Danio rerio: one gene and its partners. The protein of the gene in region 1 purifies or fractionates together with the protein of each later gene. This does not show direct contact. Links are inferred from orthologs where the notes say so. Each region holds a gene or a part of one and is shown on either strand. Other genes may lie near its edges.

Region 1 (3,662 bases):
ATGAAGGCAGACTTCCTCTTTTATATTGACATGCTGTGAAAGGTAGGTAGCTTAGCCTCGTCTTACAGCTGCATTTCCTTCCAAACAAATGCTGGACGTAAGAGAAGAAAGAACAAAACAAAAAAACAAGCAGTTTTGCCATCACAGATGGTAGAAGTTCATGGTCATCGTGTCAGAACTTGCAGGCTAGGAAGAGGAAATGTATGACAGTACTTCCTGTCCATTTTCTTGGTCCCAAAATAGATACATTCTCTGAATTTGTCACAGTGTGAAAAGCAGCTGTCAGCCATTATACGTATTGTCACTGTGCAGTATTTACATAATAGAGCTGTGAAACCTGATCTGTTGAATGTTGTGATGAATTCTAGCTTTTGGTTTTCTCTCTCTTCCACAGGCGCTTGGATGCTTGTTGTACAAGCTGTGTTTCTTCACACTTCCATTTGGGGAGAGTCAGGTTGCCATATGTGATGGAACCTTTGCTGTTCCGGACGGTTCCAAATTCTCCTCAAAGTTGCACGGTTTAATCAGTAAGCATCTTTCAGATATTCCCAAGAGGTTTGAGATTATTTCCTGATAGACTGTGGGAGTGTTTTGAAATTAAAGTTAAACAATAGCTCCATCCACTGGTCATATGGAGGTACTTCTTGCTGTTTTCCTTCTCTTAAAAAATTGTTCAGCAGAAAATTACAGTGGTCATAATTTACTCATTTTACTCACTTTTATGTTGTTCCAAACCTGTTTGACTTAACATAAACAAATATAAAAGACTTAAGATAAAAGAAAAATATTTTGAGAAACGCCTCACCGTTTTTAGACTTTATAACAGATCTCAACACATTTATCTTTGAAATTCTACAGAAAATCTCAAACAGGTTAGGAATGACATGAGCGTGAGTCAATGAAAATGTTAAACTACATTAGAATAAAAATATGTACAGAATTAACAGAGCTATGTAACACTTTACAATAAGGTTGAATTAATAATCGTTAAAATATTTACTATCGTGAAGAATTATTGAACAATGCATTTATTACAGTATTTATTCATCTTTTGGTATTATCGTCATTCATTTTTAGTTGATTTTAAATTAAAGAGCATATAAGAAATAATGCTATAACAAGCAAGAATTTGGATTTAAATAATGTGTTCGTAAATGTTGAACTATGATTAATAAATACTGTACAATTATTGTTCATTATTAGTTCATGTTTGTAAATATATTAACTGACATTAACGGGAACCTATTTGTAAAGTGTGACCAAAAACAATATATTAAAATATTTTTTTTAAAGAATTTTTACTTCAATTATATAACTTTATATTTTTTCAGGCATCTTGATACTTCTATGTAAACCTTGTGTGTGTGTGTGTGTGTGTGTGTTTTTTTTTATATGCATGCATTTTTTTGTGCTGTTCCTAATATCACATTAGTTTCATTGTCACATAATTTGTATGCAATCACTCTTAACTGTAAGCTAAATAAAAACACACACATACATACATACATATACATACATACATACTTTCATTTTATGTATTTTATTTACCTTTTTTCTCACAGGATACATGTTGGAGCCTGATCAAGAAAAGAGACCTGACATCTATCAGGTTTCTTACTTTGCCTTTCGGTTAGCTGGAAAGGAGTGTCCAGTGCCAAATCTTTTTGTAAGTTATCTAAATCATAGACTACAGAAAATAACAAGCATTAATTTTATTTCATTTAGAATTATCGCTATTTATTTATTTATTTATTTATTTATTTTATTTATTTTTTTTTTTCTGCCACACAGAATTCTCCCCTTCCCACCTCATTGCCAGAGCCCTTTACTGCTAGTGATATTGCTGCTAAGAAGAGCCTGACAAAAGCCCGGTAACATTTTAGCACTTTGTTTGTAATTTTTCACATTCTTTGAATGCAACACCATTAAAATAGCCTCCTTTTACCATTTATTTTATTAGAATAACTGATTCGGTTGGACCAACGGAAACGTCAATTGCACCCAGACAAAGGCCTAAAGCTGCAAATAGCAATGTTCTGCCTTTGTCCAGCTCAGTAACTCCTGTGAAAATGACTGTAACCACAGGTACACTAGGCCAAAAAGCTATCCATGTTTTTCTTAAATATTGTTGCTGTTTTGTGTTTTTGCCCTATTGGAGGAATTAGTTTGACTGTATTCTGTGTGTGTGTGCTTGTTTCAGCTTCTGGAAATGGGCAGCAGTCAGCAGCACAGATGCCGAACAGCAGTCAACAGAACAGAGTATTACAGCAGCTGCAGCCTGGAGACCTGCGACTGCAACAGCTACATCATCAACAGCAGCAGCAGCAGCAGCACCACAATATCCAACATCAACAGCAAATCGCCGCACAGCAGCTACAGTACATGCAACAGGTATTGAGGGGCTTGGGATCAGGACAAGTGTCCAGCAGGTTTAAGACTTTACTGCTTTTTTGTAGATTTTCAATATCAAGTTTCTATTTTTGAAAGACATTTTATAAATGATTGTATTTAGGAACAGGTGCAGTTTCAATAGTTCATATCTACAGGAAATACAAGTGATGATTTGTTTTTAATAGACTAGTTGGGTAACTGTGGAAAATCACAGTGGTGTAAATTGTGTGTGTGTTGTGAGAGACAGTTGCTTCTTGTTTGGACTGGACATTGTGGTCTGCTGATGAGCACATGATGACTGCATTGTTCACACATAATAAATGACCCACATTATATGGGACTGTTTGCATTGTGCAACTTAAGTTCTTATGCAAATCTTAATCCATGTCAAAAGAACATTGTTTGTTGACATCTTATCTTTAAGACTTTAATAATACATTTAATGGTATTGTGTATTACACCTCTACACATACAGGTGGTGTTGCATCTTTTTAATTACACAGTTGCTGGTTCAACGGGTGATTTTCTCTCGAAGTCAAAGTGCACCGAAAGTAGTGACAGATCTTTTATTCCATGTTGTGATGTGTTTTATAGTGACAAAGATAACTGAGGAAAATTTAATTTATAAGATCAAGAACATATATATATATATATATATATATATATATATATATATATATATATATATATATATATATATATATATATATATATATATATATATATATGTACACACACACAGAATTATTAGCCCCCCCAACCTGAATTATTAGCCCCTCTGTTTTTTTTCCCCCCCAATTTCTGTTTAATGGAGAGCAGTTTTTCAACACATTTCTAAACATAATAGTTTTAATAACTCATTTCTAATAACTGATTTATTTCATCTTTGCCATGATGACAGTAAATATAATCTATACAGCTTTACGTGACAATTAAAGGCTTAACTAGGTTAATTAGATTAACTAGGCAGGATAGGGTAATTAGGCATGGTGTTTTATAGCGATAGTTTGTTCTATAGACTATCGAGGAAAAAAAAAAAAAAATATATATATATATATATATATATATATATATATATATATATATATATATATATATATCTTAGATGGGCTAATAATTTTGACAGTTTTTTTTTTTTATTTATTAAAAACTGCTTTTATTCTAGCCAAAATAAAACAAATAAAACTTTCTTCAGATGGAAAAAATATTATCAGACGTACTGTGAACATTTTCTTGCTCTGTTAAACATCATTTGGGAAATATTAAAAAAA
Region 2 (3,662 bases), on another chromosome or scaffold:
TTTATTATTTATTTGTTCATTATTATTATTATTATTTTTACTATTTTAACATACAGAACAGAACAAGAAGGTCACCAGAGACGTCACATACAGCATTTACACCAGTCTCACACAATTATGTTGTAGGAACACTTTGTTGATCTGAAAAGTTCTATTGTTTGGATTTTATATTGGTTTGCCAAACAGAAAAACAGATAATATGGTGTCTGATATGTAGCTTTGTCATTGTTAATGTATTGTTTTTAAGCATTTGTTTATAAATCGATGTCACGTGCAGTCATGCTCTTGTGCTGATGTTCGGGGAAATCACTCTTTTGATTTTGGCTTATTGCATTATTATTTTACTACTGTCCTTTTAAATAAAAAAAATGGCTAACTGCATTCCAACGAGCTTCATCAAAACTCAATGCTTTTGGACGTTCTTGCATGTTATTGATGTGACAATTGTGACTCTAGACCACTAAACCAGTCTTATGTTGCATGGGTATATCTTTGGCAATTGCCTAAACTTATTGTATGGGTTAAAATGATATTTTTTCTATCATTTTGTAAAGATCATTTTCCATCAAGTCATTTTTTTTTAATTTCCTACTGTAAATGTATAAAAATTTGATTATAAGTAACTTAATTTGGACAAACTTAAGAGCCTTTTTTTCCAGTATGTAGATTTTTTGTGGCACCCTCATATTCCAGATTTACAAATAATTCCATCCCACCAAATAATGTCCTAACAAACCATCGATCAAAGGAAAGATAATAAAGCATTGAAATAAAATGCCCCTTTTTTTCCTGGTTTTGTGCTCTAAGGTTGCAATACAGATATATGATAGATTGTACGCCCTTACAGTAGATTTGTGGCTGAGAATTGCAATACTGAATGGTGAGTTGTGTGTGCAGGTCAGGTGTTGAGTGCACACGTGTCGGGCCGTGTGGTCATGAAGAGTTACCTGAGCGGGATGCCAGAGTGCAAGTTTGGCATGAACGACAAGATTGTCATCGACAAGCAGGGCAAAGGTGGCACTACTGATGACACTGGCAAGAGGTGAGTCCAATGACACTCATGGAGATGTTAATGCCTTCTGATGATCAGAATAAACGCTCCCTCCACATTAAGAAGGATCACTATATTTGCTTGTCTGTCTACAGTAAGCATGTGCACGTTCTAAATGGCTGTTAGTGTTTTTTTTTTCTCTTTTATCAGCTGAAAAAATAGGTTGTATTCTTCTGTCAATATCGCTGTCATTGTGATTTTTAATTTAAATGATGTATATTTTGTTGTTAGTAGTTATCATTCCAGTTAATTTTACTTAAACTGTCCTTTTTATGTGTACATGTTAGTTTATTTTAATGTAAAAGTGGTCATGGAATTAAGATGACAGTAAAACCATACGGATGTTTTTATACCTCACTATAGTTTTTCATATTTCTCTATATTCCACTTAATGTGTGTGTAATTTCACAGAGGTGCATTCCTAATTTTTAACTACAATACTGATTATAGTAAGAGTTATGGTGTCTTGTGGCAGTCTCTTGATGTAGACCTCCTGTCTGTGCGTATTCTTTTCTAATATCCAGACTATTTTTTCCTTCTATTTTATGATAAATTATTTATATTGTGTGGATGAAGTATATCATTATACAGAATAACAGAATATTTATATTTAAGCTATAGTAGTATTTAGTCTGATTATTAATGTGGCTGCAGTGCTTTATTAATGTATTGAACAGTACTGCAATACAGCACATACAGTTGAAGTCAGAATTATTAGCCTCCCTTTGAATTTTTCTTTTCTGTTTTAAATATTTCCCAAATGATGTTTCACAGCAAGGAAGTTTTCACAATATGTCTGATATTTATTTATTTATTTATTTATTTATTTATTATTATTTTTTTGGGGGGGGGGGATAATTCACCCAGTATTGAAAATTCAGTGATTTACTCACTCTTCTCTTTAAAACCTATTTGAGTTTCTTCTGTTAAACAAAAAGATTTTTGGAAGCTGATTGCCATTGAATTTCATAGTAGTATTTTCTACAATGGAAGTCAATGGATACCAGCTACCTTTTTATCTTTTAGGTTCAGCAGAAAAAAAGGAACTCCCAGGTTTTAAAACCACAAAATGCTAGTAAATGATGAATTAACTAAATTTTTTGGGTTGAACTGTCCTCTTAATTTATCATTTTTTATATATATATATATATATATGTATGTATATATATATATATATATATATATGTATGTATGTATGTATGTATGTATGTATGTATGTATGTATGTATGTATGTATGTATGTATGTATGTATGTATGTATGTATGTATGTATGTATGTATATATATATATATATATATATATATATATATATATATATATGTATATATGTGTGTGTGTGTGTGTGTGTGTGTGTGTGTGTGTTTACAGTTTAAGTCAGAATTATTCGCCGCCCACCCCACCCCCCCCCCCCCCCCTTTATTTTTTTTCTTTTTTTAAATATTTCGCAAATGATGTTTAACAGAGCAAGGAAATTTTAACAGTATGTCTGATAATATTTTTTTCTTCTGGAGAAAGTCTTGTGAAAGTGTTTTATTTCAGCTACAATAAGAGCAGTTTTTAATTTTTTTAAAAATCATTTTAAGGTCAAGCCCCTTTAAGCTATATATTTTTTTCCTATATATTTCAAAAGCATTTCATGACTTTTTTTAAATGTCATTTAGAATGGTCATTTCTGTCACTATCATCCAAATCTACAGCAGTTCCATCACACACCACTAGAGGTTCCCAAACCCTTTTTGAGAACCTGAATTTTGAAAAACAGGAGTTGAGGAGATAGCTCATCTTAGAGGGATAGCTCCCCCAAAAATGTGGTTTATTCAATATTTACTTGTGCTCAGTCAGTTCCAAATTCATATTTGTTTATTTACTCTCTTAATCTCTTAACTATTACTGTCATAGTAGGAAAAACAAATACTGTGGAGGTCAGTAGTTACACGGTTCCAGGTTTCTTCAAAATATCTTTTGTGTTCAACAGAAGAAAGCCAAACAGGTTTTGAGGATGAGTAAATGATGACTGAATTTTATTATTTGTGTGACTATTCCTTTTAATAATACTGCAAATGTGATATTTTTCAGTTCTTCTCTTTCAGCTACATATCCTGTAGAAACATTTCTCACTCCAGTCATTTACTATAAAATACAATAATTTTTGAGTTGGAAATGAGTTATAATTGCTGAAGTAAACTGGTTTGTGAATATAGTTTCTTATTGAGTTTAAGTAGTTTTGGTTTAAGATGTCCCTCTTAACGTGGATTTTTAAGGCTTTATTAGCACTTACGAGTAATAAAATCCAGAAAGGGAAGAAGTGCCACGAAGCGCAGAACATTTGGATACCATGTTTACAGGAAATGAATCCCACATCAAGTGAATTCATTCTTCCTGGCTCTTTTGTGTTTTGTGTCTTGCACTCTTGCTCTTCCTCTGTTGCCTTCTGTGCTGGTAGGTATTTGTATCTTTACAGAGGAATGTTTTATTCTGAGGGGCCGATGCTTCAGCCCTTTATTTTCTTTTAGTTTTCCATTTTTGTTCCGTTGATTTGTGTGCCTCTCTCCTCTCTCCCGCTGGACTTCAGTGAGTTGGGAGGCAGGTAGCGTAACTCTCACTCCTGAC
Region 3 (3,040 bases), on another chromosome or scaffold:
AACGACCAAGATAAACTTTACTATATACTAGGACAGAACAAAATATACTGGCTGAAAAATATTTGTACACAATAAGAAATTACCAATCAACTAATTTAAATAATCTTCACTTTTTATTCTAGTAATTATTGTCATTTTTAGGAGTAATGTCTATATTTATTTCTTTTTTCTGTTGTGTATTTCTAATTTTCAGTATATTTTAATAATTTAATGATGTTAATTTATTACACACTTTATACATATCTAAAATGCTTTGTCAATACTGTACTATGTCATGCCAATAAAGCAACTTTAGAGAGAGAGAGAGAGCAGTCTTTAACTGTCTGTGGGTGCACATGGCTCCTAAATAACATAAAAGTAAGAGAAATAGTGGATTTATTTCATTTCAACAGCCTTTTTAAATAACTTTAACCCATTGTAAAGAAAAGGTGTTTAACAGTGTCATAATAAACCCAAAATATAGTTAAAAATTACATTATTTTTTTTGTTTGTCGCATGTAGTTGACCATTTGTGTTGTGAGTAAAAGGTGTTTCAATCAGGCTACCACCACAAGTATATTTCAGACCTGTGAAAAGCACTGAATTACATAATTGTAATAAATGTAAATGATTTATATTATTTATATATATTAAAATGAAATATGTATATAATATAGTTATCTATCTAAATATTTAAAGTTGCTATTATATTTAATTAAGGTATAAAGAATCCTAATTAATTATATTGATATTGATCATCAGTATTTTAGTGGCTTTATTTTTATGTTTATATACCCAATACAAAAGTTTAATATTGTGAAATTGTTATTAAATATAACAGTTTTTCTATTTTAATTTATTTGAACAATTTATGTTTGTGATGTCAAAGCTGAATTTTTAGCAGTTAGGGAAAGAACTGTGTTTTTTTTATTGCAAACCATTTTTTTGTTTGTTCAGAAAAATCGTATGCTTTATAAAACTATTTTGTTTTGTGATATACTTTATATAATCAAGTTCAAAGGATCAACATGGTTTTTCCTAACAATGTAAGTCTTCGCTGTTGCTTTTGATAATATTAATGCATCTTTGGCGAATGAAAGTGGTAAAGTGTTCATTTCTCTCCAAAAATAACTCTACATATACAGGCAGAAAGATTGCCAGAAGCTGCCGGGACGATGAGAACAGCAAAGAACGACGTTCAAGCCGAAGAACGAAATGCAACCACTGTCAACTCTGTAAGGCAGTCTCTGTGCACCACAGTTCATATTAATAATAGTGCTTCACTTTGTAATTCCTGAATGTGTGTTATTTATAGGCCAAAGTATCCACTCCATTGGCCCCGCCTCCTAAACCCGTCCGTCGAAGACTGAAGTCAGAAGATGAGCTCAGACCAGATGTGGACGACCTTCCTCAAAAGTCTAACGTCATAGCCACTGTTCTAGCAACACAGCCCTCAATTCCTCGGTAAACATCACTGTTTTGGTTTGGTTTGGTTTGGTTTGATTTAATTTGTGCTTTGTTTTCTATTTGGTTTTATTTTGTTTTGTGTTTTTTTTTTGTTTCATGATTTGTTTGGAGTTATGTGTTTTATGTTTAGTATTGCATATGTTTTTGTTTCCTGTATTGTGTTTCTTTCGTTTATTGTTTTTCATTTAGTTGTGTTTTGTTTCGTGATTTTTGTGTTTTTGTGTTTAGTTTAGTTTTTTTTTTTTGCATTTTTTTTGTTTTATGTTTTGCGGATATTTTGTTTAGTGTTTTTGGTTTAATGTTTTTTGTTTTGTATTTTGTTTCATGATTTGTTTGGAGTTTTATGGTTTGTTTTGTGTTTAGTTTAGTTTTGTTTCTTGTTTTTCATTTAGTTTTTTGTTTCATGTTTTGTTTAGTTTTTTTCATGTTTTGTATTTTTTGTTTCGTGTTTCATTTAGTTTTTTTATTTTGTGTTTGGTTTTATGTTTGGTTTTGTTATGCATTTTTTTGGGGGTTTTTCATGTTTAGATTTTTGTTTCATGTTGCAGTTTCTGTTGTTTTTTGAAGTTTTATTTTGCATATTTTATGCTACACAATTAAACAAAACAAATCTTTAAAAAATGCTGCTTGGATACCTACATCCTGGAATTTTTGCTGTGAGATTTAACCAGCATTGTTCACTGTATTTACATGTGTATTAACGTCTGCCTCCTATATGCTCTGTTTAAAAACAGGTCTCTCGGTAAAGACAAAAAGGCCATTCAGGCTTCCATTAGAAGAAACAAAGAAACGAATACGGTTTTAGCCAGACTCAACAGTGAATTACAGCAACAACTGAAGGTATTTTAAGGTGTCTAATGAAAGGAGCTTATCGCATTGAAAGACACTTAATATTTTAATGTCTTATAATTCATATTTTCCTAAATCCTGTTTTTTTAGGACCTGCTAGAAGAAAGAATATCGCTTGAAGTGCAACTGGAACAGCTTAGACCTTTTTCGCATTTGTAACCAGTGTGTGCAAGCTTCAGATTGAATGTTTGTGTGTATGAAAGAATGGTCACCCCATTTTTTTCCCCTTCTTTTTACTTGTTTGTTGTGTTGTTTTTTTTGAGTGGTCTGTTGGATCCTCTGGCAGGATGTCCATTTCACCCATCTCTGCTCCTCTGTAAGACTGTGAGAGAACAGACTAAAATCGCTGCTTCCTCCAGATTCAGTTCTGTCTTGTGCAGCCCATTCAGAGGAACAGAGTCCAGAAACATTGTCCATTATGGCACTTTGATGAAACAGAATGTTTGAGTGGTTGTATGTGTAAAGCTCCAGAAATCACAAGTTATCTTTAGCTTGTGAAGCCTGACGTCATGGCCGGCAGCAGGCTGTAATTCTGGTTAACATGAAGGAGCCTCTTCCCCTCCTGTTCTCCAGAGTCCCGGGGCAGCTTGTCACGTTCTTCCATGTTCGAGGCACCCGTGTGTGCGCTCAGACAATCATTTTAGGCCATGCACTGGTCATATAAAGGGGAGAACTCATTTCTTTGGGAGATCATTTTATTTTAGGAGTATGCTTCGGAAAATCGGTTCTGACAGGCACTTGTTAG

Evidence for each region.
Region 2: the proteins of bmp2k (region 1) and ap2m1b purify together in Homo sapiens (affinity purification with mass spectrometry; 3 studies listed by BioGRID and IntAct, counting the BioPlex papers as one, with this or other methods). This does not show direct contact. The link is inferred for Danio rerio from reciprocal best matches to the Homo sapiens genes BMP2K and AP2M1.
Region 3: the proteins of bmp2k (region 1) and reps1 purify together in Homo sapiens (affinity purification with mass spectrometry; 3 studies listed by BioGRID and IntAct, counting the BioPlex papers as one, with this or other methods). This does not show direct contact. The link is inferred for Danio rerio from reciprocal best matches to the Homo sapiens genes BMP2K and REPS1.

The regions. Positions count from the first base shown.
Region 1 is NC_133180.1:40,038,695-40,042,356, forward strand, and holds part of bmp2k (BMP-2-inducible protein kinase), read left to right. Parts: intron 1-394; coding exon 395-527; intron 528-1,562; coding exon 1,563-1,666; intron 1,667-1,791; coding exon 1,792-1,871; intron 1,872-1,960; coding exon 1,961-2,085; intron 2,086-2,200; coding exon 2,201-2,391; intron 2,392-3,662. UniProt on the Homo sapiens protein: May be involved in osteoblast differentiation.
Region 2 is NC_133193.1:48,967,427-48,971,088, forward strand, and holds part of ap2m1b (AP-2 complex subunit mu-B), read left to right. Parts: intron 1-897; coding exon 898-1,042; intron 1,043-3,662.
Region 3 is NC_133195.1:42,536,354-42,539,393, forward strand, and holds the end of reps1 (ralBP1-associated Eps domain-containing protein 1), read left to right. Parts: intron 1-1,124; coding exon 1,125-1,214; intron 1,215-1,294; coding exon 1,295-1,443; intron 1,444-2,180; coding exon 2,181-2,286; intron 2,287-2,385; coding exon 2,386-2,454; downstream 2,455-3,040. UniProt on the Homo sapiens protein: May coordinate the cellular actions of activated EGF receptors and Ral-GTPases.